Arabidopsis thaliana: one gene and its partners. The protein of the gene in region 1 interacts with the protein of each later gene in a pairwise test. Each region holds a gene or a part of one and is shown in the gene's direction. Other genes may lie near its edges.

Region 1 (5,793 bases):
ATTTTAAATAATGACACGAACTATATGTATGTTAATACTATGTTGAATCCGTGGTTATCAAATGTAAGCAAACTTCTACATTACATATATCGTTGATAAAAAGAAACAAAAAGTGGATGAAAAAGCAGTTTCCTTGCAACCAAAATTTCGGAAAAAAACTCAAAGTTATATGAATTTACTTGTAAAATAGCTTACTTGAAAAAAACCAAGATGTTGACATGCCAAACTTAGCTCCTGAATAACCCCTCGACGTTCATCATCTCCCCCTTTCAGCCGAGAAACATCGATAGTGGGTACGATTCCGGAATTTGAGTCACATGGTTTGCTAGAAGGCGGGACGACGTAACAGTCAGGTACATACGGTAAACTCCTCTCTTGTGCAGAATTCCCCATTTTGAATGTGCTTGAATCCTCACCTTTCTCCATTATTGGTATTTGAATTTGAGTGTTGAGAAATCGGTTAATATTGTGAAGGGATAACTAAAATGAAAGTGTGAGTGGCTCCTCTATATATAAGGTTTGTAGGCTTGTAGTCGTTTATTGATATTTCGGAGTTATATATTAAAATATGACGGTCGAATACTAAATTATTATTCTTCCTTTTTGGAATATCTAGAGCATGTGTAACTGTCAATTGTTTATCGTGTACCAATAAGAAACTAAACTTTATTATCAAAATGATAATATAATGAACATCCATATGTTGTACGAAATGTATAAGAATGTCCAAATTCATATATGACGAGGGATATTAATAAGATGTTGGGATATAGTAGGAAGTAGGAACACTAACATGGATTTAATTTTTAAATGGAGACTTCGATCTCATTCATAGTCCCAACTACTAAAAAACAAAAAGAAGCTTTCCGCAAAAAAGCATCCTCTTGTCCGGATTTCAAGCCTTCATAAATATGTTGGACACATATGTGAATGCATGTACAGATAAATTCGATATATATGTCGTTTGAGTTGTAACAATTCTGTAAAAATAATAATGAAATTGTTATATACGGTCATGCGTAAGGTCTAGGTAAAATGTATTGCGCCGGGTTCCTTCATGCAATGGGCATTTATCTTCCTTTGGGAAAGACAAAAAAATGTCTGATGTCACATTGTCACTGACATTAAAATGAGAATTTTCAATCATAATTTAACACAACTAGCAATTAAGAAATAATATTACATCGATTTTTCATCGAAATACAACTACCTAGCTTCTAGTGATATACAGTATTAGTACTATTTTTCGTTGGGTATATTAGTTAATTTATAAATACGTAATACGTAAATAAAAGTTGCAAACAAAATGTTCATCCTAGAAATTATATTTTAGGACAAAAAGAATTGTTTTCTTGTACATGTTTTAAAAATTCGACTATATTTTAACTTTTTATCCCAAAAGGCTAAACCATATATCTAGTATAATTTTTCGATCATACATGTTCTAGTTCTGATGCTCCAACAACTATAAAAAGTGTTACAAGGGAAATTCTCTGGACGCATATTATTAGGTAGGTTTGGTAAAGAGAAACACTCAGGATTAGTCGAGGAGTTATGGTTCAACACCCCTTCAATGCCAATTCCAAGCCCTCTGCAAGTATTTTCGAGAAAAGGAAAAGTACATAACAACTAATATCACCATTCCACAAGATCATATATAAATACAAGCATTATTTACTGGCCATTAAAATCTTCCCTATATTTGTATGTTGTGCAATCAAGAACAAAAAATAAATATGAATTACTGCTTCAATATCTCCATCAAGATTTAACCATTTTAGGGTTGTGGACTTTAACTAACAGCATATGAATCATATGAATTGTGAAACACGAAAAATTTGTTAAGAACAAAAAAAAGGCTATAGGGAACAAAGCAGATCATATATGTTGTGGTGGTTGTGAAGTTAGGTTATCCACCAATGAGCAACCTTAACCTATGCCTTATATAAAAACATATATATTTCCATAATTCCATTCACACATATGCATATAGACAACTATAGCAATACAAGAAAATTAAACGCAATTTATTGAGAAAATACAAACAGCGTGCACTATGAAGAAGACGTCGAAGATACAATTTCTTTTCAATCTCTGCATCATATTTGGGGTTGTAGTAATAAGAAGATGTAACGCAACGACATACTTTGTAGGAGACAGCTCCGGTTGGGACATAAGCTCCGATCTCGAGTCTTGGACTTCAGGCAAGCGATTCTCTCCTGGTGATGTTCTAAGTAAGTATCTTTGATCATGTTGGCTTCATCCAACTATATATATACTACATAATTAAAAACTCAAATTAATTTACAGTTTCCCTTAATGAACTAATTAGTCTAATTAATTATGTGTATAATGTTTTTGCAAGTGTTCCAATACTCATCGACGCATAGTGTATACGAAGTGGCTAAAGACAACTACCAAAATTGCAACACAACAGATGCGATCCGGACGTTCACAAACGGGAACACGACCGTTGCTCTTTCCAAACCGGGAAACCGGTTCTTTGTATGCGGTAATAGGCTCCATTGCTTCGCCGGTATGAGGTTACTAGTCAATGTTGAAGGCAATGGCCCATCTCAGGCTCCCGTGGGATCTCCCCAAGCCGCCACTTCAGGGATTCTTCAACCATCTTCTAAAAAGAATAACCCTGCGACCGGAGTCGCTAGCTCAGCCGCCCGTTTTGTTGGCGACAGCGGTTGGAGGGGTACCATGGGAATTTTTGTATATTTTATGGTTTTTGCTTTTCCATTCATATGGTTTTGCTGATTAAAAACTATCTATAATAAGTGTTTTCATGTATATGTGTATTCATATTTGCCCTATAATGAGTGAGAGTATTTATTTGTTGAATTTCTTTATTTTTGTTTGAGTTCATGACCAAATTAAAACCTAAATTTTTGGTTCGTTATACAAATTTCGTTTTGTTTGCTCAGCAAATTTCTTACAAAAATGACATGTAAACAACGTTATGCTTAAAGTTATTAATCAATCAATGTATAATAAAAAAAAAGGAATTAGATTCTTTGACTACATTGAATTTGTATTTGTTCGATTCGATAGCGGAAAATTCAAAAAATAACCGATATCGGTTTATATTTTAGGTAATTTTATCTGGTTCGGTGTAGTAAATTCACCGTTTGACCGTATCTATATCACAGATGATTCACTGCGATTAAAAGTTGTGGTTATCACTATCTAATCGTGATCGCTACCAAAACGCAAACGCTAGTTACCGGAAGACACGTCTTGAGTTTCGCAGCATCTCTCTCCTCTCCTCTGTTCATATCTCTCTTTAGAAATTTCTCAATGAACATACTCAACAGATTGGGTTTGGGATCAAGTGGGCAAACCAATATGGATCCTTCTCCGATCGCTCAGGGAAATGACGATGACACACCGGCGCCGGGGAATCAGTTTGCCCAATTCGGAGCTGGATGTTTCTGGGGTGTCGAGCTGGCGTTTCAGAGAGTCCCAGGGGTGACTCAGACCGAGGCTGGATACACCCAAGGGACCGTAGACAATCCTTCATACGGAGATGTTTGTTCTGGTACCACAGGCCATTCGGAGGTTGTTAGGGTTCAATATGATCTTAACGATTGCACCTATGAGTCTCTGCTTGATTTGTTCTGGTCTAGGCATGATCCCACCACTTTGAATCGCCAGGTATTTTTGGATCCAAGAGTTGAAAGTTTTAACCTTTCAAGTTCGGGGATTGAGAAAGATTCTGTCTTTAGGATTATTGAATCTATTGGGATGTGCCTGAGTCTGTTGTGCTTTGGGGATTTCTTGATTTTTCTCAAATCTGATAGCTTTCTGATTTTCATCACCAGTCTTTACTTTGAAACTTTTTAAATTTGGAACCTTGATCATCTAAGTAGAATATGAGGAAGGAAATGATATTGAATCTTGATTTTTGTTGAATTATGAGGCTTGAGTTGGTAACTTTGGTCGTTGATCTTAGTATGATCCAGATTATGTAGTAGCTCTGTAATCTCTCCCCTGTTGCTCCCTTTTTAATTGAGGTAGAGATACGGATTTCAGAGAGGTTCTTCTTGTTCTGTTCATGATCATTGATTAGCATTGGATTTCATGTTTGTTTATATTGATGTTAGTTTGGCTTATCATTTGTCTTGCATCTGTGCGCAGAGAACTATAATCATATGCAAGTTTCTGCTAGTTTTGTTTGAGAAATTCACTAGCTTATAGTCAAATTATCTCGTTGGGGTTCATAGCGAAGTATTCTCAAATTCTACGCATGTACGAAACCAAATCGTAAGCGGTCTGTTTAGGTTATATGGTTTTAGCAATTTCTGTTGTTGCAAACTCGGGACAACTATCTCGATGATGTTAACCTTGTGTATTATGATGAAAAAAAATCCTATTTATGCTTTTTTCCGACAATTTACATTTGCATCTTCTCTGACTTTCAATAGCATATACTGACCAGTCTTATGACTGTTTATCTCATGAGTTTGAATTCTCTGTGTTTACTATCATAATTTTAGTTTAAGTACTCAGTTTTCTCGGCAGCCTACTTCCATGCTAAATTGATACTTTGATTTATGACTTTGCTGTGATCAGGGAAATGACGTGGGAACCCAATACAGATCTGGAATATACTTCTACACACCCGAGCAGGAGAAACTAGCCCGTGAGTCACTTGAACGTCACCAGCAACAAATGGAGAGAAAGATCATGACTGAAATCTTGCCAGCTAAGAAATTCTACAGAGCTGAAGAGCATCATCAACAGTATCTGTCAAAAGGTGGGCGGTTTGGCCAAGGGCAATCCACTGCCAAAGGCTGCAACGACCCAATCCGCTGTTACGGCTAATAAGCTGCTTTCCTCTGTCCCTCTCCGAAAACAGAGGACTTAGCATCAAAGGACTTGTGTGTCAAATAGATTGTGTAAAACTTGACTAAGTTGTTCACACGCTATGTAACTACTTCTTTGGAATTTCATTCGCAATGTTGTAATATTGATGTTATACTCTATAAACATAAACCAAATAATCATTGCGATCCTTACTAGATCTAAAAAGCCATCAACATGGTAAATGTAGCCAACGAAAAAAAAAAAAAAAAAGAGTGTTGGAGGGCCATTCCTTTATTAGAGTAATGATTCTCTAGTTTTGATTGCATAAACAAACGTGCCCACCAACCTACAAGTTGCATACTTGCATGATTGTTTATTATTAAGTCATCCTTCATAGTTCATATAATAGAGCTTAGAACTAGCTAGTTGAGTAATTGACCCAAAAAAAATGTGAACGGTATCAAAAGTCATTTCATAAACACATGTTTTCCAAGTTTTGATCAATATTATATCTGACCAATCTATAGATTGTCTTTCTCAAATACGAATTGATCTAAATAATTTCAGACCAACCAATTTTTTTGAATTATGTTTCCAAATTATAATGATGGTTGTTGGATTTTTTTTTTAAATAGATAGTTGATACAGTATTTCTATATACAATAAAAGAAATGACGCGTAATATATCCATTATTCATTAACAATTTGACCAAATTATAAATGCTACACATAGTATTGATTGAATGTATTTTTCTTGTGTGTCAAATACTACTTACATTGAAATATGAATATTCCTATTTAGCGATGATTTTTAGGTGTTAATCTCTGACTAGCTTCTTTATATATATAAACGAGCTTCCCGAGGTCTCATCATCAAACAATACACTTAACAATGGATTCTTCTCTGAAAACTCAGGAACCTCAAGTAGTGGAAACTTCTCCTTCTCCGGTAGCTCAGGAGCCTCCTCAAGTAGCTGA
Region 2 (10,767 bases), on another chromosome or scaffold:
AAATGTTTGTTCCTAGCTTTCTCTGAATCTTGTTTAGGTCAAAGCTACCTTTTCTTTTTCTATTAAGAATACCAGTCATCTTCAATAAATAAACCTTAATTTTCATCTTCATTTTCGGTAAGGATTTACTTTTGTATTCTTGCCTCCAAACTTAATCTATGACATGTATAAAATTTGTAAAACCTTAATTTTCTTCCAAATGTTTAAGATTTTTCAAGTAGATTTGAGCAATCTATCAAACTCTCATTGTGTTAATTTAGTTTGAATTAAACTACAATGTGTTAACTTAGCTACATTAGTCTCAGATTAAGTTCAAGTTTGTTTCTCCTTAGTATTAAGAGTAAGAAGAGAAGAACAGAGAAACCAGAAAACCAAATAATTCATTCATTCCCTTTTTTTACATATTTGAGTAGAAAGAAAAGAAACCACCAACTTAAAGACAGACACATGAGGACCTAAAAAGCCAATTAAAACTAGACAAAGAAACGTAGAAAATTAAAAACCAAACTCTAAAAAAAAAAAAAAGAATGTTAAGAAGGGTTTAAGAAGGCATCAACCTTGTTGTTGGAAGCCATGGACAAGAACTTCATGCAAATAGGAGCCTTGACACCAGCCAAGGCAAGGATAGAGCTTGGTAACGTCCAAATACCTTCACCACAGATCAAACCAGAAGCAACAGCAGAAGAGTACGCATCGGCCTTTGGTTTATTCAGCTTCCTCCAGATGAACAGTATGAGACTTCCCAGACACATATCTATTGTGAAGTAACCTCCAAGGTAGAAGGGTATAGCCATAGCCATTGGGAGCGGGATAAACCGAGCCCACTTTGGCCCAAGGGCATCCCTTATACCGTTTACGATCACTGCTGCTGCGAAGAATATGTAGCAGAGCATGAGGCAATGTTTGGGCAAAGCAGAGAATCCTTCGACTCCGAGTATAGACATGTTTCTGTAGACTAAGGCGTATGGAGCGGGATAGGCGGTCCCGGGTTGGCCAAAGTCAGGGAACGCCTTGTAGAATAGCCAGAAGACGCAAGGAGAGATCACACATCCCATGGCGGTTCCAATGGCTTGGCTCAAGAACATTGATCTTGGTGAGGCTAATGTCATGTAACCGGTTTTGAAATCTTGCATAAGATCAGAAGCTGTTGAGACAATGTTCATCATGACACCACAAGCTGCAAGTCCAGCTAAGACGCCTCCGTTAGATGCACCAGCCCAGGCTCCGATGGTGAAAATGGCGAGTTTTCCATAAGTGGAAGCTAAGGACCAGTCAGTGAGTCCGCAACCGTAGGCGTTGCAAAAGGCTAAGACAGGGGCGATTATGTACATGATCAAAATGTGGTACCATTTTAGCTGATGGAAGATATGTGGAACTGTGATGATTGAGACTATAGCCAATACTACGTAACCGGTTACAGCAAACCATGATGGGATTCTGTCTTTGAGGAAAAGCTCTGTTCTTCTTTTGTCGTCGTAGGAAATGGTTACAGGGGCTGTTGATGTATGGTCGTTGATAGGAAGAACATCTTTGTTCTTGAATTGCTTGTATAGACCGAAGACAGTGCGGCCTAAGACTTTGATGAAGTTGTAGAGACCATCACCGAGGATCATAGCTATGGCTATAAACACCTGAGGGCATCAAACACAACTTAAGATTGTAAACTCTTATTGAATGAAATGAAGGAAAAGAGAGTGAGAGACACAGTACCCTGTAGCCTTGAAGACCATGGAGACTGGTTGATGAGAGATCAGCAGCATACCATTTGCCTTTTTGGGCACCAATGAGAGGCCACATAACACCCCATGAGAGAATTGCTCCGATGAGAAGAGACACATTGATAAGATATGGACAAATCATTCCAACACCAACATATGTAGCAGAGAAATCAAAGTAGAATTTGTTTTCATAGGCTTTGAGACCAAATGTAGGGAAGTTGGCGAAACCACAACCGTCACCAGTAGCAAAGAACCATTGAAAGAAACCCCATAAGAAACTGAATGAGAAGAACTTGCCCAATGCTCTGACTTGCTTCCTGTGTTATACATAGAGAAAAAAAAAGTGATCAATATTCAACAGACAAAAGAAAGATTGTAATGGGGGCATGATGAAAGATTCTTACTTTGCGAGTTTGGCACCTTGAGGTGTGTGGAAGCTGTTAATGAGATGGGCAGTGGCAGTACCACTAGGATATGTCAATTTGAAGTCCACGATCATGATCTTTCGAAGAGGAACGACGGAGAAAAGACCAAGAAAGCTAACGACAAAGAGAAATCCTATCATCCAACCCAAATGTGGATTCTTTATGTTCAACGGAGTATTGGCTTCCGCAGATTGTTTAGCAACAACATCACTCATTCCAAACAGATAACTACCAAACCCACCTGTTCAAACACAAACACACAATCTTTAAGCCAAACTATGGTCGTAAATACACCAAGAGAGAACCAAACATATTGGAAACAAATTTCATTCATGTAACTATAAAATTAGTTATGGTTAGCAAACACAAAATATTGTTAAGGTAGGTATTAAATCTTGTGAACATGTTAGATGTGAATTGATTTCTTTAAATTAAAAACCAAGCCAAAATCTAATCATAACGTATACCACAAACTAAAGTTCCTATATAATAGTATGAAATTAAAGGTCATGTGCCAAATAGGTTCCCATTTGACACACATGGTGGGCATAGCAAGTCAACTCTTATTAAAATAAAATTGACGTCATAACGAATCACGTGAGAATCAAAAATAGTGGTTTCCTTGGAATTTCAATCTCTCCATGCATTAAGTATGTGTACACGATGAGTGGTGATGTCTGTTTCAAATCTCGAAAATAGTTCCAAATATTAAATTCTCAAGACAACACCATTTAATTAAAAATATGAAAGTCATAATTATCCTCTAAAAAATTGTGATTCTCACTTTAGTTTACCAATCTTATCCCATGCAAAGTAAGAAGTCAAACGATAGTGGATTAGTTTTTTTTTTTTTTTGTTAATATAATCTCTAACGTAAGTATCCAGAAAAATAACAGCTAATTCTAGTCTACTATAAATAAAAAGTTGAAGCTCCTAATTAAGTGCCGTAATCAACTAATCATATGCTAAAACATCATTGACTTAGACCTAAATACGAATCTCACGCGTCATGTTCTCTATCAACTTGCCGTGTAGATATGGTTCTTATTTTATAACAAAAAAAAAAGTCATACACATTGCTCTCGGATATGAATCTCTCACGTCACTCACTAATCAACTTTGATTTTGACATACTAAAGAAAGTATGAAGTATCCACTTGATTTTGACATACTGCAAAGAAGTATCAAACCCATACACATTTATTTTTATCAAAAAAGATCGTGTGATATTAGTTTCCTAGTCTAGGTTTTAACTTGATCGGTTTTAATTTTTTAACTATTGCACATATTATATTTTTTAAACAACTATATAGTTTATTTAATTTTCATATTTTTTTTTAGAAAGCGATAAACACAAAAAAGAAGTATATACTCTGTCATTTTCAATAGAGACCTAACAGCAAAAAAGTTTTAGCCGTAAATAGAAACAAAATTAAAGACGGCGACACCAAATTCCATCGACGCGTTCACATCAACAAACAAAAAAACGTACCGCTAAAGGCGATGCCGGAGGAGGCGACGACACAAGTCTGAATCACAGTATTCTCTTGCCGTGTAAACGGTTGTTTAAGAAAACCAGCTTTATTAAGAATCTTAGTCCAACTTTTAACAAAGAAGAAACCAAGCAAACCGGCGGAGATATTCAGCGACGGAATAATCCCAGTCGTTAGATTCAGTTTCATCACCACAAAGGTAAAGAGAATCGCGAGTATGAAACTCACGATTAGAGCTCTGAACGTGAGCTGTTTTTGCCACGGCGGTGGGATTTCGTTACTCTCTTCGAAGATTCTCTCCACGGAGATTTCTTCTTCTTCGTTGGATTTAGATCCATTGTTTAGATCGTCGTCTTTCTTCGATCGTTCGACTTCCATAGCTGAGAGTTTTTGATTTGATTTGAGTCAGATCTGAGGAGGGGAACGAGAGAGGGAGAGATTTTATAGAGGAGAGGATCTGAAGAGAAGAGATCGGCGAGAGAAGAGGACGATTTTCTTGTAACTGAATGATTCTCTCTATTGTGTGAGTGAGAGAGAGAAGCGAATCTGTTTTAATATTTCTATATTTATAAGTCAAATGTGTTTTTTTTATAAATAATTAACCTACGTGCACGTGGACTATGGTGTGGTGTGTATACACAGTGTAAAATCTGAGTTTTTTCTTTGGTGTGGATTTAGAGTTAATTAAATTGATACGTAAATGGATTTTGGAATTTAGATTATGACATGTTTACGTGTTAAACGAGCCAATTATGACGGGTCGTAGATTGTATTAATCTTAACAGAATTAAGTTTTAGTTGCAAATGTGTTTTTTTGAAAAGAATTAAAATATTAAAATGAAAATACACGTAAATATTGTTTGAACATTTGATTTCAGAACAATAGTCGTTTATATAGTGAGTTGTTCTTCAAATTACTTTTAATTTCGGAGTACTTAACTATTAACCAATATTTTTTATAATTAAAGATTACAAGGGAATTTTACTTTTTCTACCACAATTTTCCCAAAAAAAAAATATTTCTATCGCTTTTCAATAGTACCAAATTATTTATGTGGAAAGACCAAAAAAAATAAAAACTATGTGTCCAAACGTTTACACCGATTTGACATTTTCATTTTTATGTTCTCTCACTACATTGTTAAAGACTCTAAACGTGAGCTGGCTTTGCCACGAAGGATGATCCTCATGGGCTCATGGCTGGCCTCAAAGATTCTATCATGTCATGTCGTGGCATTTGAGATCGTCATTTTTTTCCTTTATCGCTCTGTGACCGCTGCTAAATTTAAGTCTAACCTAGCTCTTTGTTTACAAGAAAGGAGAGGATTATTTTAAATAAGAGAAAAGTTGGAATATTCGAAAGTGTCGTGCTCTTATTCTATGGTACGAGACTATGAGTGACTAGATAGAATTTTCATTTAGATTCTCTAACCATAATAATTAGGTAAAAAAATCTTAGCTATTAATATTGACTAATAAATATAAAATGTGAAAGTTTGACTATACTATATTAATAAACAAATGGTTAACTTGATATTGACCATGAATGCATCATTAACTTGCTTAGAATAACAAAAATCTTATGAATTTATAACTACTAGAAGTTTGATTATATGCGAGGTGGGTTCAGACTATTCACATATTACACAAACTATTTGTGGTATTAGAACTTGTATAACTTGGACAAAATTCATATCAATTAACAATTAACCTATTGAAAATTAGATAAATAGAGAAATAAATCTATTGTTTGCTTATGTGAGTATAAATAATGAGATTTAGACTTAAAATAGTTAAGTCAAAATTAAATAATATTTTGGCACCTTTTATAAGAAAAGAAGATAAAAGGGACCTATATGATCAAATACAAAAGTAGAGGGGTTATTTCATAATAACACGTATCTTAGAAAATCTTTTTAATCTTCTTCGTTCACCGAATCTTCTTGGGTTAGGTTTGTCTTCAAAATCGTCAGAAGAAGAAGAAGAAGTCAAAGACGATAACAATGACGTCATCATCGTACCTCCGATTTGCGATCGCCGTCGTAGCTTTCCTCTCAATCACCACCATCACCACCGCACGTCCTTGCAAAACCTTCCTAATCTCCTCATATTCCCTCTCAATAACCCCAGAAAACCCTAACCTCGAATCCGATTTCACCTCCACACGATTCGTCACCGTTTTCACAATCCGTCGTCTAAATCCTCACCACGTGGTTCCTTTCTTCGTCAATCGTCGTCACGAGAAGCCACAGATCCAATCGGATCGTTCCCTCCCTTTGATCTCTGATAACATCAATTCGTTTAGAGATCGAACCAGAGATATTCTTAGCGTCGTCGTCGCGCTTTTGTTCGGTGTTGGTTGTGGTGCTTTAACCGCTGCTACTATGTATCTTGTTTGGGCTCTTGTTGTGAATCGTCAAAGCTATGATTTTGAGGAAGAAGAAGATGATTATGAGAATGATGAATCTGATGCTGCTAGCTTGAAGAAATTGGGTTATGTTAAGATTCCAGCTCCAGCTCCTGCTCCTGTGAAGGAAGCTGCTTGATTTGAGGTTGTGAATTTCAGTTTCTGCATATTATCATGATTTACGTTGTTGCTTATCTATGTTGTTGCGTACAAGTAAATTCGTCTCTGTTATGGATTTATCTAAACTTACTATACTCTAAGTATCAGTGTTTTTACGATTTGTAGTTGATGTTTCTTAGATATATATAAGTGTGATTATGATGTTACCTATGGATTTATTCATTATCTTTGATACCAATGTGACTAGTTTAGGAGCTTAATACTTAAATGGATTGATCATCAAAGGAACCAAGGTCGTGACTCGAGAAGTCTGTTTCTTGTTTTCTTTCTGACTTGCTAGAACCTAACTTGGTCGCAGGATATGTGTATGGTTCTCATAGCCCCATTTTGTGGTTTAATAGCTTTCATTCTTTCAAGCACTGATTAGCTAGAACCTAAGTAGGTCGCAGGATATGTGTCTGATTCTCGTTAACCAATCTGTGTTTTGAACAGCCTTCAAGCATTGGGAGTGTCTAGTTTTCTATTGCTTATGGTCATATGTGTGTATGGTTCTCATTGCCCCATTTTGTTGTTTAATAGCTTTCAAGCATTGCATACTTAAGGTAGTGTCTAGTTTCGGTTCCGTTTCTTGTAATCTTACTGACTAGCTAGTAGCTAGACTTTTTAAGTAGGTAGCAGGATATGGGGATGACTCTGGTTGACCCCAATCTGAGTTTTGCATAGCTTTCAGAGCATTGAGAGTGTCTAGGTTCTATTGCTTATGGTCATCTGTATATATGGTTCTTATTGCCCCATTTTGTGGTTTAATAGCTTTCAAGCATTGTGAACTTTAGGCAGTGTCTAGTTTCTGTTCTGTTTCTTGTTATATTTCTGACTACCTAGTAGGTAGACCCTTTTAAGTAGGTCGCAGGATATGTGGATGATTCTCATTGATACTAATTTCTGATTTGCATAGCTTTCAAAGCATTGAGAGTCTCTAGTTTCTATTGCTAATGGTCATCGTTGTGTATGTATATAGCTTAAAGGTTGATGTCTTGGATGCAGAGGAACAATTAAGTGCCTTATTCTCTCTAGTCTAGTAGTTATTTGCCTTGTAACAATCCTTTGTTATGTTACTATTTGATTTGAGGTTGTTTTATGTATGTAAAATCCAGTACCTAATTGTCTTGGTAATAGAATCTATAGATGTCTCAAAATCGGTCCGATTTTCGATTGTCAACACAAATGGTGCAAGATTTTGCTTTCTACATATATACTCTTTTCTTAAAAAACTACCTCAAAAGAACCTAATTGTCTTGGTACTCTTTTCTTAAAAAACTACATATATATTCAAAAAAACTACCTCAAAAGAAATTGTTTATCGTTTCTTTTTCAGTATTTTAGTTATCTGATAAAATAAAATAAAATTGTTTTTGGGTCCTCCACTATACATATGAAGAAACTTGCACATCACCATTCAGTTTGGTCACATGAGTTAATATTAATGAAAGCACTCGATTAACAACAAATATCATTAATCAAACTCAGTAAATTATTTATACATAAAACGAAATTTTATTTTCAATAGAAACTACTGATGTTTATTTCTTCATATCCTAATTTGTAACCTCATATTCTTTTGGTAAACAAACAAAACCATCAAACATGCAAATAACCGTTGGAATTCTAAAACTTATTAAAAGAATTTTTGAAGAGAACCATTTTGCTTTGAAAAAGGCAAAAAGGGTCAGAGATAATACGACATTGACTGCAGTGTGTATAACGGCTCCAATTTCAAAATTACTATCTTTAATAAAATAAATTAATTCCACTTTGACCCCATTATTCTTCAAAGCTTACAATTTCACCCGACTTTTCTTAATTTTAGAAAGTAATGGGTCCTATCCGAATACTTTCTGAAATAAAAGAACTTTTGTCTGTCACAAATCGCATTACCAAACAAAAAAGTTTGAAGTTTTGAATCTTTTTGTCTTCTTACACAAAAGACATTCCCCTAAAAACTCTCTTGTTCTTGACTCACTTCTACTTCAAAATCTCTCTGTTCTTCAAAATTCTTTGTCACAAAATGGGTTGCTGTCTCAGCAAGAAACCTTCCCCTTCTCTTCCCTCTAGTGTTAAACCCTCAGATCCAATCAAACCCATGGAACCAGTGATTGAGCCTTTGGAGGAAGAAGCAAAACCCAAATCTGAGAAACTGAATCAAGAAGAAGAAGAAGAAGAAGTTGTGGTGATAAAACACACAAGAAGCCATGAAGAGAGATCCAAGAAGACAGAATCAGATAAAGATTCTCCAGTTTCTTCTCCTGTGGCGGCTGAGAAATCGAATTCTACACCGCTTGTGAGAATCTCTAGCTGTACTAAAGAAGAAGTTGATGCTATATTGATACAATGTGGGAAGCTAAGTAGAAGCAACTCTGCTGCTAAAACAAGAAGATACTCTGGTTCTAAAAGAAGCTTTGATTTTGACCAGAACGAGAGAATCCGCGGCGGCGATGCGGCGGAGGAAGACGGAATGCAGCGAAATCGTCACCGTGGAGTAGAGAGAGTGCATGGTTCGCCTCGTGAACGGAGAAGACGAACTCCGAGTAGAGAAAGAGAAAGATCGGGAAGCAGAGAAAGAGGAAATGTCGGCGGTGGCGGCGGTGGTAGTAGGAGAGTGAGTAGATCTCCGGCGAAACGTTCTGAGATTCGTAACGCTGATTCGTGTGGCAGTTCGGTAAATTCGAGTAATAATAGACCGGGAAAGTTTGTTACGATTCCTGCAACGGATAAGAGTAACAATGTAGAGCCGTTAGTAAAACGGATTACGGTTAAGAGAAACATCGGAGACGCTTGCAGAATAGCGGCGTCTCCGAGGTCAAAATCTCCGGCTAGAGCGGGGAATAATGTTCCCTCGCTAAGCCGGAGTAATTCAAGAAAGGCGGAACAATCTCCCTATAGAAGAAATCCATTGGGAGAGATTGATCAAAACACTAAGAAGATGATAGAATCTGTGAAACCTAATTCAAGAACAAGTAGAGGTCCAAGCCCGAGTCGTGTTGCTGTTGTAGAACTTACGAAAGCTCCTCAAGTTGTGTTAAGCAGAAGCAGATCGTTGAGGAAATCTCGAGATTTCGATTTGGTATCAAACGAGGATAACAATTACACTGCATTGTTGTTGAAAGATATTCAGAGTTTTCATGGGAAGAGTGTTGATGATAGCGTGATTTCGCTGCCATTGTGTGTTAGTAAAGCTTGTTCAATTGTTGAAGCAGTGGCTGATCTTAACTCTATGACGAACAGAACTTGTTTGAGGTCTGATTCGAGCCGGTTTAGATTCACATCGACGGTGAAGAAAGCCGATCTTATGGAACCGAGTTTTGAGAAGTATGTGACTGTGAAGAGAGGTGGTGGTTCGTTGGAGGAATCATCTGGTAGCAACAATGTTACGTGACTAGGGAGATTCACTTTTAGCAATAACAGAAACTCGTGTTGTTGCGGTTTAATATGGAGAAATTGTTGTTTTGTTTGTCTATTGTTGTTTCCTTTGTTTGGTTTATTTTGTAATTCAGATGTCAATTTGACAATTTCAATGAATCTTCTTCTTATCTTCAGTCTGGCATAAAACCCAAAAAACCTGTATCGGACCCGAAACCAAACCAAATAATCATATAACCGGAGAGACTTTTAAATAATTTTACACGAATTATCCCAACTGAACCCGAACAGAAACAAAAACCAAACAGTATATCTGAAAAATCGAAACAATATCTACATATTCAAAATTATTAGATGTTTTAAATTATAATTATACCTTAACCAATTAACAAAAATATCCAAAAATATCTTAGATATATTATATATATCCAAAATATCCGAAAATTCTTAGTATTATACCTAAACTAAATGACAAAATTATATATTTTTTGTAATTCAATTTTTATTAAAATTTTGAAAAAATATGTAGTTTTTTCCAAAAACCGAACCAAATAATCATAGAACCCAAATATATACTAAATTTTTGTATCGGATGAATCCAAAAAATCTAAACTGAATCCGATCTGAACCCCGAACCATGCATACTTGGTGGATTAAACAGTTCGGTTCAGGTGAAAATTTTCAGAATTGTCGGTTTCGGATAAAATAACTAAACCGGATAAAATGTTCGGTTCGGTTTGAGTATTTCTTTTAACATTTCGTAGTTAAAAGCAACATCCAAAAGCAAAAACACACGCCGGAGAGTTTTCTAAGAACAACAGTGACGAAAAGGTTTTTAGGGTTTCTTTACCAATCAGAATCTCCGCCAAGTAACGATTTTCAGATTCCGAAGCAGCAAAGGTTAGAGCTTTTCCCTCATACGTTTCTTCTTCTGAATTCCTTGAAACCCTCCGGTGAACCAGAACCTGTTTTACATTCGTTTTCTATTCGGTGGTTTCTTTTAATTTAGGTCAAATTACACTGGAATTATCATTTGTTTCTCGTAATTCTGGATTTATGTTAAGTTTGGTGAAATCTCTCGTTGAGATGGATACGAAATCTATTAATTTTTCATTGTTATCCGTAAGCACACCAAGTGTTCGATGAAATTCCTAGTCTAATTTTTAGTAACCTTTCAGTTCAAATAA
Region 3 (13,064 bases), on another chromosome or scaffold:
AGAGAATATACCTTTCCCAGTAATTTTTGCGCATTGAGTAAGGGTCAGGAACTTTCCAGGCTGGAATCACGAGATCTTTGCGGGGGTCAAAGCAAGGATGATCTCCTCTCCTCTCATCAGATATATCATCCCAGTTATCACCAAAATAAGCTGTTGTTGAATGGTTGTGCTTAGAGTTTGTGTTACCCCAGTGAACTAGCATCATGCTATTCCATATCTCTTTAGGAGCATAGCAAGCACCTTCATCCCATGAGAAAAACTGCCTTTTTCAGGCGTAAAAAGATTAGCCACATTAGTGTGGAGTGATCTGTGTAAGAAATCAAGAAACAAGCTCTAAGTATGTATGCATCATCATACCCAAATATGGTCTCTTCCAGCTGAGCGGTTCCAGTATGGATATTTCTCAACAATGTGTTCATAAGCCCTTTTGTAGAACTCTAAGGTAAGTGAGCTTCTTAATCCAGTATGATTCTGAAAGTAATAAAAACATATACAATATATGAGCTCTAAAGCTTCTACAAGCAGAGAATCAAAAGGTGAGTTTCTCGACCCAACCTGCATGTTAATGTGAGGTGCATCATCAGCACGATTTATAATGCATGAATCCAGAACAGGAACAAAGAAGAAATCTGCCTCTTCTCCATTCATTGTACGATGAGCGGTGGCCAAGATGTTCTCGTAGAATGCCATCTTCAAAATCAAAAGAGACAAAGAAGAGGCAAAGTTATCTTTCAATTCAAATTCAGGAGAAAATTGCTGAATTATCTGGTATTCGACTCAAGTTTAGTAGAAAACCTGGGAACCATATAGATAATCTGTCCATACTGTTGCATTCCTCTCATCATAGATCCTATTAACGCATTCAAATTTAAAATGCCGGCCCTGCAACAACAAATTTAAATCAGAGGAGACTGAGAACTTTATCATAAAAGGTGATTTTAACATTTTGTAGAAGAAAAACTAAAATTTTGGATTGTGACCTCAATAAGTAGACTGTTGAAGTCTGGGGGTAGATCATAGATGTATATAAGAGGCCTTTTTTTCTTCACCACAGCACTCAGATTAATGAGATTACCAGGGACATTTTTTTCACTTGGAACTTCAAGATGTGCTGGTCGAAGCCACTGTGGCCACTCTCCTACCGTCGAGAGAGTGGATGGAATACTACAATCTGTTCCAAACCAGCCTTTATCACACTGAAAAGGCGGTAAAACACACACAAAGTTAGGAAAATTTAGATTATGAATATGCAACCTCTCGGTACCAAAATGTCAAGCGTGGTGACTGTGGATACACAATTTTACCTGGCAGAAACCTCCTCTGCATTTGCCATGTCCAGAGCACTGATTAACGCAGGTGCATTGTACTGGAATTTCGCAGAACCGTCCCCAAAGACAATCATATTTACAGTCACATTCCTCTTTGATTTTCACCTTCATAGCATATGCATCTTCTGGATCCACATTGCACCATCCTTGTTTGCTACTGTTTGTTGTTAGAATATCTAAGTCTGGTTTCGACCAATCTGTCATTTTAGGTTCATCAGGATTCGTCGGCGAACTGAAAATACATGTCTTAAGTTAAAGAGTTTTTAATCTTGATTTGAGAAGCATTTGAGACTGTCAAAGAAAAGAATCAGGTAAAACTTACTTGATTTGAAATCCACATGACTCTGGCACTGGACGGTTTGGATATTTTGTGCCTTCTCCACAAAAGCACATTGCTCTTGTGGTGTCACAATGTCTGGAACAAATCGAAACAACCCATTTTCCGTATGGCATCTCTGGTGTTTTCTCATAATTGCAATCTAAACGAAGCTTTTGTGAACAATCTTCTCCTACACAGAACCGGTCAAAGTAGCTTCATTTACACACCAATCATTTACAAAGCAATCAACATTGGGTTTAGGAAGATTAAAATAGCATAAACACTAACCTGTAAATCCATGGAAGCAACGACATAATCCAAATTCATGGTTACAAACACCTTGACCACTACAATCACTCATACACTTTCTCCCACCAATTGGCTACCAAAAAAAAAAACACAACCATTATAACAAAATCAAAGAAACAAGATTGTTTCAAGATACCAAAAAAAAACTTACTTCAATAATGTCAACTTCTTTAGCAACTGCATCACAACTAGAAAGCCATTGTCCGATCTCAGCTTTCCACGAGGCATTACGATAAACTACTGCACCGTGTGAGTCAGCAGGAAAGCGGCGATCAAAGGCAACAACAACAAGGGATTGACTTGAATTCTTAGTCACTTGTGAGATTGATTCATTACTTGGTCCACAAAGATTCTGAGCTTGTCTTACAGTAATAGAATCAAAAGAAGGCACTACAGGACCAAGAAACAGATGAACCAAGGAAACGAGAACAATGACAGAAGCAACAGTGGCTATCTGAGACCATGAGAACTTCCATTTCTGGTGAGAAAACATGATGGAAATCCGAAGTTGTTAGTTTTCAAAGTTGACCGCCTGAGAATCAGAAAAAGGAAGCAGTTTGATTACATAAAACCCACATGCTCACGAAACACAAAGTAATGGAATTTACGGAATCGTCAAAGAAACTGAGCTGAAATAAAGGAAAGATAGACCCACAAGGTTGGGCAACAACCATAATTGAGCAATTATTGAAACATAAATAAACAAAAAGCAGTGAGCTTTGACCGAGAAACAATGGAGTTTTCAAAGTTGAAATGCGAAGACATTAATGAAGAGGAGTAAGTAACATTGAATCATGGGTTTTCATACATTAAAGGATCCAAACTTAGAAGAATTATTTACATGATTACAAATCAGACATTTGAGCTAGTATTAAACAAGTTACAAGAAGAATCACGAGAAAGAGACAGAACGTATTCAAACAAACATAAGGAAGCTGAGAGAGAGACAAAAACTCACCAGCTTTGACGGAAAACGTCATGGGTTTACAAGAACTAATTAACTCAACAATGGGGAGGATTTATACGATAATTATTACTTACAGAGAGAGATTTGATTATACAATAATTATATAATTAAAATAATAATAATAATGCTTCTTTGTAATAATTAGAAAGAGAGAGATGGCCACGGAGATCTGTGGCTGGCCGGGAAGGAAAGCAATTGTTGATTGATTATGGAAGTGGTCGTCTCTCTCGTGTGCGTCATCTTCCTCCTCTGCTTCGATTCTCTCATTTTTAACTACCTTTCTTAACCTTCTGACCATTCGCCGCCCATTCCCGGTTTGATCTTCTTAACCGGTTTCTTTTGGTTTTCTCATCAATTTTCACTTTTCTTCAAACAAAACCAAGTCAAGACTTCAACTCTGACCAAACCGAGTTTAACCGGATCAGTACCATCTCTAATTCAAATCCAGTAAATAATCTGATTTGTGACGGCTGTGGGCAAAACGGTAAGTACGTGTCTCCTTTTTATTTTAGTTATCGTTTCATTGTCTTGAGAAAGACCGTGGTGGGTGACGCACTCCTCTAACAGACAATTACGTAATTTACCAATCTAGCCCCGTTTGATAGCAATGTGTTCGCTTTTTCCAGAAATCTTTATTTTATTTTTTATGTTAATAATTGAAAATCAGACTCACGTGAACGTAGCGCTTTATCATTGGTTAGGATTTCAGCGACGACTCCGTAAAATTAAAAAGTCTACATTCTCTCCTTCCTACCAACAAAAAAAAAAGTCTACATTTTCCTTTGAATATTCAAACTTTTATTTTTTGTACTACAATAATTTTTATTTAATATCGCTCCCCAATAGTATTGAAATTGACGAATTGTGCCACTATTTCAATCAGCCATTAGAAAACTAATTAGAATCTGTTAAATTGTCACAATCCACCACAAATCGTTGTCAATATTTGGAATCTAAATTGAAACAGAAAGATTCCACTGAAAAAAAAAAAAAAAGTGAGAGAGGCAGCTCAAGGGATGTGGTGAAAACGTGAGAGACTTTTGAATGTAATGGCGATGCACAAACTGCTCTGAGCATGATACTGTAATGTTACTGGACGATGCTACCATATGTTCTGATTTTAATTAATTTTATGGAGTGTTTTAGTTTTTTTTTTTTTTTATGTCAAATTAAAAAGTGAAGTCAACGATTTGTAAACAAGAAGAAACGTGGCTACAAGCCTACAAAAATATGCAACATCTTGAAAAGAAAATTTCTAAATTTATACAGAATAAAAATGAAACTTGGACTTGCTAATCTGTTTTAAACCTTGAAAATCTGTTTTTAAACCATTTATATAATCTATAACAAGTATGTGATATGTAATCTATAAACTTGTTTCACCACAAGAAGAAGAAGAATCTCTAAGGAATCTTTTTAGTTCTTTGGCAACTTCAACCATTTTTGGAACTTCCCCTCTAAGACCAATGCATCTTTCCGAGAGGACAATGAAAGCTTCCATTCGACAACGCTCTTCTTCTGTAACATCACCTATTTTCTCTAACATGTTTGAATCGACAATCTCATCAATGCATTTTGCAAACTTTCTTCTGTTTTCAAAAGTTGTCAAGTCACTCCGATCATAACAAAGCTCATGAAATCTCTCTTCTCCCATCAGAAGCTTTTGCATAAAAATACCAAATCCAAACGCATCAGTTTTCTCCGAGACAATACCATTAATCAAATAATTATCATCCATGTAATCATAATCTCCACCTATACAACCATTACCAAGCTTCACAAATGTTTCTCCTTGTGGAATAGAGACACAGTAGGAGAAGTTACACAACTTAGCAACACCATCTTCATCATCCAATAAGATATCTTCTAAACGCAGAATCCTATATACGAAAGGTCTTGGAAACGCAGTGTGAAGATAAGCTAAAGCAGTTGCAATCTCCTCTGCTATTTTCAATCTTTGTCTCCATGACACAACCATTTTCAGATCTAAACTAGTAGGTTTCTTTGATGCACGATAAACCAAAACTGGATGTTCAGATTCAAGACAACATCCAACCAATTGCATGAAGTTTTTATGACCACTAACAATCGATGAGATGGCTATGTCACGGCAAAAGTTTCCTCCGTTATGCTCACTAAATCTATATCTCCATTTCTTGATGAGTAACAGTTTATGATGATGATGATGGTTATTGTTTTTACCTGAATAATACCAATCGTATGGAATCTCATCGAATAGTTCAGAAACACGATTGGATTCGCTGAAAGTGTCGGTGGCTTCTAGGATTTGATCAGCGGAGAATATTTTGATGGGATTTGCTTTGCCATTGCAAGATTTGATGATCTCTTCTAGCAATGTCCCACCTCTCTCGTGTCCTCGGACCAATCTCTCCCTTTTAATTATGGCTCGTAAACTCTTCTTCTTCCACCACTCCATCTCAAACAACAACGAAAAAAAAGTTTCTTTTACTTTTGAGGATAAAATGACCAAAGATTGAATGACGAGTTGAAGACCACACACCGTGTTGAAAAGTTGTAACGTGAAGTCAACGAAACACCATTAAGGAGTAAGACTTCGTTGGAAAAGGTTTATCTTTTAGAGCAGAAGAAGACAAAAGTTGTTGAAAATTCTTCACCTCTTTGTCTGTTCAGCTCCCTTACTCTCTCTTATACTCTCCTCTGTTTCAAGACAAGCACAGAGAAACGTTACTCCCTCTTATGTTTTAAGTATAAAGACATAAACGTTTTGGAAGAGAAGAGAGAAACTGATTTACTATATTGATAGTTCGGATCCTTATATTGATGAAGCCATGTTTAACGCAATTCTATATGAGTCAGAGCATCAGTGCATCAATTCACAGAGCAGAAAAAGTTCCTCCGTTTTTGCTTTGAAGATTCTTTCTCAAGTTTCCATCTTTCTTCTTCTGGGTTTACATAGTTCTGTGAATCACAGACTGTGATCAGTGGCAACGAACACAGAGAACAAAGATGCATTAAAAGACAAATTTATTCATTGTTTTGTATTGATAGTTCATATGTAATTGATTAAAGAAGAAATATGCGTAAGAGAAGACTAAAGAGTACATTTGGCTAAACCCTTTTTTAAAAGTCCCACATCGACAAGCTAGGGATCGTTGGTCATAAGCTTTGTAGTATAAATAAGAAGCTGAGCCATTCGTTCTAATCATACCTTTCTCGGCCTTTTGGCTAAGATCAAGTGTAGTATCTGTTCTTATCAGTTTAATATCTGATATGTGGGCCATCGGCTCACACGATATTAACTCTATCTTTTAAGGGAGAAAGCCCGCTATGATAGCTTGCTATCTGGGCTTCCACGAGTCGCCCATGCGTTGCACTACTGCACGGGCCTGGCTCAACCCGCCAAACTAGAAGTGAAACTTTTAAAATTTTAGTCACTTTTGATGTTTAGTTTTTAAAATGATGTAGGATTCTTTATCATTCAAAGTCCAAAACATCCAAAATATACGACAAGTAAAAATCTGTGAAGTAAATATATGAACTTTTGCTTGTCTCTGGCAAAAATCTGAATGGTAATGTTTCAGACTGAAGCCAAAATGGCATTGGCATTGTCTCTGCGTCATGTGTGTCTCATCTGCGATCTACAGTTTGATGGATAATTTGCAGAATTCTCAATCAGCATGATGCTATGTTTATGAATCATGTAAGCAGAAACGACTCCTGTTTACGTTATATCAATGTTTCCATGGGTTTTGTTAGTTAAAGATTGCCGCTGGAAGCGTGTGCGTATACTATCACTGAGAAGAAAGATGAAGACAAGCCAAAGATGATCGTAGTAGCTTAAGGAACTCAAGTGGATTCAGACATCACTTTAGAGATCGAAATAGGGTTTGAGAATTGGAAAACAGTGTGAAAATAAGCTAAAGCAGTTGCAATCTCCTCAGTTATATTCATTGCAACGTTCGATGAGATCTTCTAACAGCATCTCCCCCCTCTAGCTCTTGATATCTTATTCCTCAACTAATCGAGAAACACTTAACTTTGAAAAATAAAATGACAAAACTTGAAGACCTCACACACTCTCAGTTGATCAAAACGAAGAACACTAGCTAAGATATAAAGTCAAGCTGTCGTTGTTGAATATCCCACAAAGTCGTCCTTCCAAGAAAAAGCTCACAACAAGACTTGCGGACTAATTTCATAGTTCTTTCTACATCACCTGAAAACTAGTTAGGAAGCTAAGGCTTTCTCTGTTTTTTTTTTGTTTGTCATTGTTCCACTGGTTCTTTGCTACAATTTAGGAGACTAGAACAAAACTAAATTTTTTGTTTGGTTATACAATGCAAAAAAATATCTGCAAAATAAGTGATTTAGTCTCTAACCGAGAAAAAAGTAATTAAAAACAGAGCAATTACTAACTATAATTTCTGGTGTCATTTTGAGACTATAGTTAAAACTTACAAGCAATGTTTTACATAAATCATTTTTAAAATTATAAGTAAAAATGTTGGCGCCTCAGTATTTCAGGTTCGATTCCCATTGTTCTTTTTCAAATTGGATAATTTAGTCCACATTGACAAAAAGAAAGAAAAATCATAATATGTTTAAGGATGCGTCAAGTGTATGCATATATATTGTTGTAAAAAGAAAAAAGGTGTATGCATACGTTTCTAACATATTTTGTCTGGCAGTCAACTATTTGTTATGAATATGTACAATCACATAGAAATGATAGCATGTGGCTATGTTACGTGAATTAAGGCAAATGATCTTACGTAGGGAAAATTGTAACTAAAAACTCAACAACCCTTATTTGTTTTTTTTGTTATCTTTTCCACTTTGCTGCAAAATTTATTGGAGAATCTGAATAAAGCGGTGAGCATAGTACAGCTGAAAATAACTAGATGATGAACTTGTTCTTTAGTTTGTTTTGATTCTTCATTATATTTAAAGAAAATTTGGTTAGATAGATCAACCACTTCAACAATACTTTTGTAACTTCAAATATTTAATAACAAAAAAATTAAAAAATGTTTGAACTTTACTGAAATGAAATTTCGATATTAGAATACTAAAGAATCAAACGTGCACTTAAATATCATTTAGTTTATATTTATACAAACCATGAAAGACTCTCATACTTTACACCGCACATAAACAATCAGAACCATACCAAACCATGTGAATAGAATCACAAAGACGTCATGCTTTAATTTACAAGCAAAAAAACAAAAGGCATCGGCTAGAGAATAGCAAAAAGAGGAAGAATTGAACGGAAAAATTGAAAACATATGGAACAAAGTGGAGCACTTAAACATCCACGGTAATATTAGTATATTAGTCACCTTCAGACTAGGGCCAGACATGAACAAAGGATTCGATGTTAGTGACAAGTAGCATATCAGACTAATAAGGATATATATTAAGCGGTATGGGTAACACATTAATCCTTTCTCCAATTACATTCTCTTTAAGGTTCTAAGATCCGCCACTAGGCCATTTTATTGGTAAAAGTAAAACCATTTTGGTGGTCGTCTATGAGTGTTAAGAATTATGTAACAATTTTTTTGGATTCACCTGAAATAAATCTGTTGATTTGAAATATTTGGACGTTACATTTCCATATATAAGCTTACCATACAAACATTATAATTAATTGGAAAGTCCAGCTAGCACTTTTTACCACATGCAAAGGGAATTAATCCTAACTTAAAAAATTAGGAGTAATCACATCTTGGTAGTGTATACCGATCAATTTCCGACAGACGTTTTTTTTTTCCTTGCCCATTGATTGCATAGTTCAAAACTTCAAAGTTGGCCAATCCAACCAAGTCGAAGAGATAGGAGATGTTTTGAAGTATGAAAACAAATAGAGGGGCTAAAATCAAAATAACAAGAAAAAACGCTTCTGCCGTGTTCGAATGTGTCCTCGTGATCATCTCCGTATATAATCAATCAATCAATAAAAATCCAGAGTTACAAACACTCTTCTCAAAATTTTCCCATTAAATCGCAAAGTTAATTTTGCGATTTTTTTTCTCTTTTTTTCTGGTTGGGTTATTTATTTTCCCCTTTTAAAAAACTTCTGCAACTTGTCTTGAAATCTGGGGTAAAATATTTCTTCATTGGTTTCTGGAAATCTCGGGGAACGATTTGTTGGGTTTTCTTCTTTGTACTCTCTCCTCACATTAGCTTTTGTTGGTGGGATTTTTTGAGGATGGTGATTGCTGCAGCTGTCATCGTGCCTTTGGGCCTTCTCTTCTTCATATCTGGTCTCGCTGTCAATCTCTTTCAGGTTTGGTTTCTGATTCGTTTCTGGTGTTACTCTTTTTAGATTCCGTTGTTGTTCTACATTGTAGATCCTTTCTTCTTTTGTTTTGATTCACTGCTTTTAGGGTTTCCTTCTCCAGAAACTTTGATTCTTTCGTTTTTGTCGGTGATTGTGTCTTAATTCTGAGTGTGCATATGAGAGTATAAGCTCGAAATTGACTCGTGGAGCTCATGCACTGAGCTATAGAGTGTTGTTTGATTCTGCGATTAAGTATCACTTTCTTCAGATTTATCTTGATTTCTATGTTGATTGAATCGAGGAAGGAATCTTTTTTTCTCTCAACTTCGTTTGCTTCAGTTTTGATGTTTACTACTACATATTGTTGTTTCAGGCAGTTTGCTATGTACTCATTCGACCACTGTCTAAGAACACATACAGAAAAATTAACCGGGTGGTTGCAGAAACCTTGTGGTTGGAGCTTGTATGGATAGTTGACTGGTGGGCTGGAGTTAAGGTATCCACAAGCTTTCTCCTTTTTACTAAATGGTTGTTAAGCTTGGATTTTGTTTTATCTTATCTAACTCTATGAGTTCCTCTCAAATTTCTTGTTTCTTTTCCCTTAGATCCAAGTGTTTGCTGATAATGAGACCTTCAATCGAATGGGTAAGTTCATATGCTTATTGGCAATCAAATCAGTTTCTGATGTCTTCAAGATATAAAATTCCTATGTAAGAACGAATCTGTAACTTCATTGACTGTCCTACTATTTTTTTCTAGGCAAAGAACATGCTCTTGTCGTTTGTAATCACCGAAGTGATATTGATTGGCTTGTGGGATGGATTCTGGCTCAGGTACATAATTTCACCTCACAGTTTCATCTATCTTCCTACGTTTTTGTTTGAATGCATAAATGGAGATCAACATAATAGACTTCTTGATGAGAAAGCATGTATACTTGCAATGGGACCATGTATTGCTTCCAAGTATCTACTTAAGAAAGATTATCTTAGGTAGAAGGTGACAGTCCCTAGTGATCATCTGATGAGATATGAGAGAGTATAGCATCATCATATTTTCTCTTAACACGCTCCCTGTTATGCTGTTTACATCTTTTAATCTATTGTTTCATATTTTCTTTCCTTGCAGCGGTCAGGTTGCCTGGGAAGCGCATTAGCTGTAATGAAGAAGTCTTCCAAATTCCTTCCAGTATGTGAATATTTTAGCTTACTGCTGTGTGCTTGCTAGATTTGAGAGAAAATAGTAGTAATCTTTAATTCTATTTCTGAATCTCTTCTATAAGTTAGAAATTTGATACCTGGCTTTGCGTTTGAGAAAAAATCATTGTTTTAGGTTAATACACTTCTCCGCCTTTTTTATCTGTTACATATTCATAGTACTCATAAACAGAATTTTCACACACATACAGGTCATAGGCTGGTCAATGTGGTTCTCGGAGTATCTCTTTCTGGAAAGAAATTGGGCCAAGGATGAAAGCACTCTAAAGGTATGGGTTTATAGTATCCTTGTGCAACTCATTTAGTTTTTGCTCCTGTGTAAAATGCTTATTAGCACGTGCAGCTACCTCGTTCATGAGGGGATTAGCCTAAAAATGCAGAATCTTCATTTCCAGACCATGAGTTATGTGTGTTTGTCTAAATTTACAGTCAGGTCTTCAGCGCTTGAGCGACTTCCCTCGACCTTTCTGGTTAGCCCTTTTTGTGGAGGGAACTCGCTTTACAGAAGCCAAACTTAAAGCCGCACAAGAGTATGCAGCCTCCTCTGAATTGCCTATCCCTCGAAATGTGTTGATTCCTCGCACCAAAGTAAGTTGTAATATTTTTCTTTTGTTCATTCCTGGGGCAACTTGATATCTTCTCTGTGTCCTTTAAAAAGCAAAATGATTGCTATGATGATCCAAAATCTCAATGCATGGGTAGCCTTTATACGTTTCATTTTCATCAGATCGACTTGGTGGTTGTTATTGTGATTTCTGCCCTAATTACTAGACTTGCTTGTATTTTTGTTTCAGGGTTTCGTGTCAGCTGTTAGTAATATGCGTTCATTTGTCCCAGCAATTTATGATATGACAGTGACTATTCCAAAAACCTCTCCACCACCCACGATGCTAAGACTATTCAAAGGACAACCTTCAGTGGTAAGCAAGCAAAAATATGAATAGGTCGTATAGCAGTTGAATCTTGCACTCTTCTCACAACAAATTTCAAAGTATGCACTGGCTTGGATCACATCACCATCCAATTTACTGAAACGAACATAACTCTTTATATCACCTTTACTTTTATAATGTGTAAGAAACCGTAGGACTCATCCCATCCCAAGCCTTTTTCTTTTAAAACCTCCTGCGCCATTAACGCAAACCATTGCTGCTGGTTTCAAGGTGCATGTTCACATCAAGTGTCACTCGATGAAAGACTTACCTGAATCAGATGACGCAATTGCACAGTGGTGCAGAGATCAGTTTGTGGCTAAGGTAAAAATTATGGATGTACTGGTATTTCCACGTTTCAGTTATTGGCAATAATATATTTGGTCAAGATTTGATAGAGAAAAGCTTGGAAAAGCTTTCATTTTGGTATTCTCTCATCTCGTCTCTGTGATACAGGATGCTCTGTTAGACAAACACATAGCTGCAGACACTTTCCCCGGTCAACAAGAACAGAACATTGGCCGTCCCATAAAGTCCCTTGCGGTGAGTCTATAAAATTCATAACATTCTCTTGGTTCCATCTATAAACTCACAAATCTCTTGATCTTTTTCTCAGGTGGTTCTATCATGGGCATGCGTACTAACTCTTGGAGCAATAAAGTTCCTACACTGGGCACAACTCTTTTCTTCATGGAAAGGTATCACGATATCGGCGCTTGGTCTAGGTATCATCACTCTCTGTATGCAGATCCTGATACGCTCGTCTCAGTCAGAGCGTTCGACCCCAGCCAAAGTCGTCCCAGCCAAGCCAAAAGACAATCACCACCCAGAATCATCCTCCCAAACAGAAACGGAGAAGGAGAAGTAAAAACTGGTTCTCACAGATCCAAACATCAAACACAACAAGAAGAAGCGCGTGTCAGTTTTGTTATAAGAAACAGAAAACCAAAAAAAAAAGACATCCAAATGAAAAATCCCTTAATATTATCAACTCCGTTTTGTTCAGCTACTATATTACTACTACTACTACTACGCAGCCTATGTCTCTTAGTCGATTGATGTATAGGGTCATGATCAAATCAACGATTTAATCCCTATAGTCCCTTGGGATTTTTTTTCTCAAGTGCATAGGCCTTGTATAACTTTCTATTTTTAGATTGGAATTTGGGATTGATATTAGACATTTTCCTTTTATTATTAAACTGTTTTGTTCCTTGGTTCTCATTGCTAGTGTAGAATTTATTAGGCACAAAACATGTTATTACAAGACGTTTTAGAAGAAAAAACAGAATTTATTCATGTACATAAATTATCTGACTAGACTAATCCTACTGGGACTTAATTGTGATTAGACAAAAAAAAATTCATTTTGAGAAGAAAAAACAGAAACCCGTTCATGGAATTAACTGAGATTAGACAAATTCAACTACAGTATGACGGTGATTACAGGGAGAATATCGTAAAAGAACAGGTTTTATTTTCTTCCATTTTTGATAGAACACATTTTTTTTTTTTTAATGAGTGTATAATATAATAAACACAATTTTTATTTTAGTTTTCTCAACCCTAAAACTAAAACCCTTTCACGCCGATTCAAAAGAAAAAAAAAACCTTCACAAGTCCGGTTGCTCGCGCCGCTTTTCTCTCTGTTTTCAAACTCCGATTAAAGTCCCGACTTGTATCAATTGATAAACCCTAATTGTCTCCGTTCTTGCTGAAACACT

Evidence for each region.
Region 2: the proteins of AT5G07475 (region 1) and AT1G65720 interact in a protein complementation assay, tested with the Arabidopsis thaliana proteins (one large-scale study listed by BioGRID).
Region 3: the proteins of AT5G07475 (region 1) and LPAT2 interact in a protein complementation assay, tested with the Arabidopsis thaliana proteins (one large-scale study listed by BioGRID).

The regions. Positions count from the first base shown.
Region 1 is NC_003076.8:2,361,800-2,367,592, reverse strand, and holds AT5G07475 (Cupredoxin superfamily protein), read left to right. Parts: upstream 1-1,987; 5' UTR 1,988-2,056; coding exon 2,057-2,234; intron 2,235-2,365; coding exon 2,366-2,766; 3' UTR 2,767-2,887; downstream 2,888-5,793. Other genes in the region: KUOX1 (KAR-UP oxidoreductase 1), read right to left, coding at 196-426; PMSR3 (peptidemethionine sulfoxide reductase 3), read left to right, coding at 3,307-3,663, 4,582-4,833; PMSR2 (peptidemethionine sulfoxide reductase 2), read left to right, coding at 5,708-5,793.
Region 2 is NC_003070.9:24,435,886-24,446,652, reverse strand, and holds AT1G65720 (uncharacterized protein), read left to right. Parts: upstream 1-5,579; 5' UTR 5,580-5,639; coding exon 5,640-6,182; 3' UTR 6,183-7,001; downstream 7,002-10,767. Other genes in the region: AT1G65735 (ascorbic acid mannose pathway regulator), read left to right, coding at 333-338; YSL7 (YELLOW STRIPE like 7), read right to left, coding at 531-1,631, 1,711-2,035, 2,123-2,384, 3,636-4,014; AT1G65710 (serine/arginine repetitive matrix-like protein), read left to right, coding at 8,229-9,596.
Region 3 is NC_003074.8:21,340,632-21,353,695, forward strand, and holds LPAT2 (lysophosphatidyl acyltransferase 2), read left to right. Parts: upstream 1-8,751; 5' UTR 8,752-9,119; coding exon 9,120-9,197; intron 9,198-9,564; coding exon 9,565-9,687; intron 9,688-9,796; coding exon 9,797-9,836; intron 9,837-9,950; coding exon 9,951-10,024; intron 10,025-10,319; coding exon 10,320-10,379; intron 10,380-10,599; coding exon 10,600-10,677; intron 10,678-10,837; coding exon 10,838-10,996; intron 10,997-11,202; coding exon 11,203-11,328; intron 11,329-11,571; coding exon 11,572-11,664; intron 11,665-11,796; coding exon 11,797-11,883; intron 11,884-11,956; coding exon 11,957-12,208; 3' UTR 12,209-12,562; downstream 12,563-13,064. Other genes in the region: AT3G57630 (exostosin family protein), read right to left, coding at 12-259, 358-471, 556-690, 796-882, 981-1,196, 1,305-1,560, 1,651-1,837, 1,936-2,029 and 1 more; AT3G57640 (Protein kinase superfamily protein), read right to left, coding at 4,290-5,360. UniProt on the Arabidopsis thaliana protein: Converts lysophosphatidic acid (LPA) into phosphatidic acid by incorporating acyl moiety at the 2 position. Has preference for C-18-CoA substrates compared to C-16-CoA substrates. Required for female but not male gametophyte development.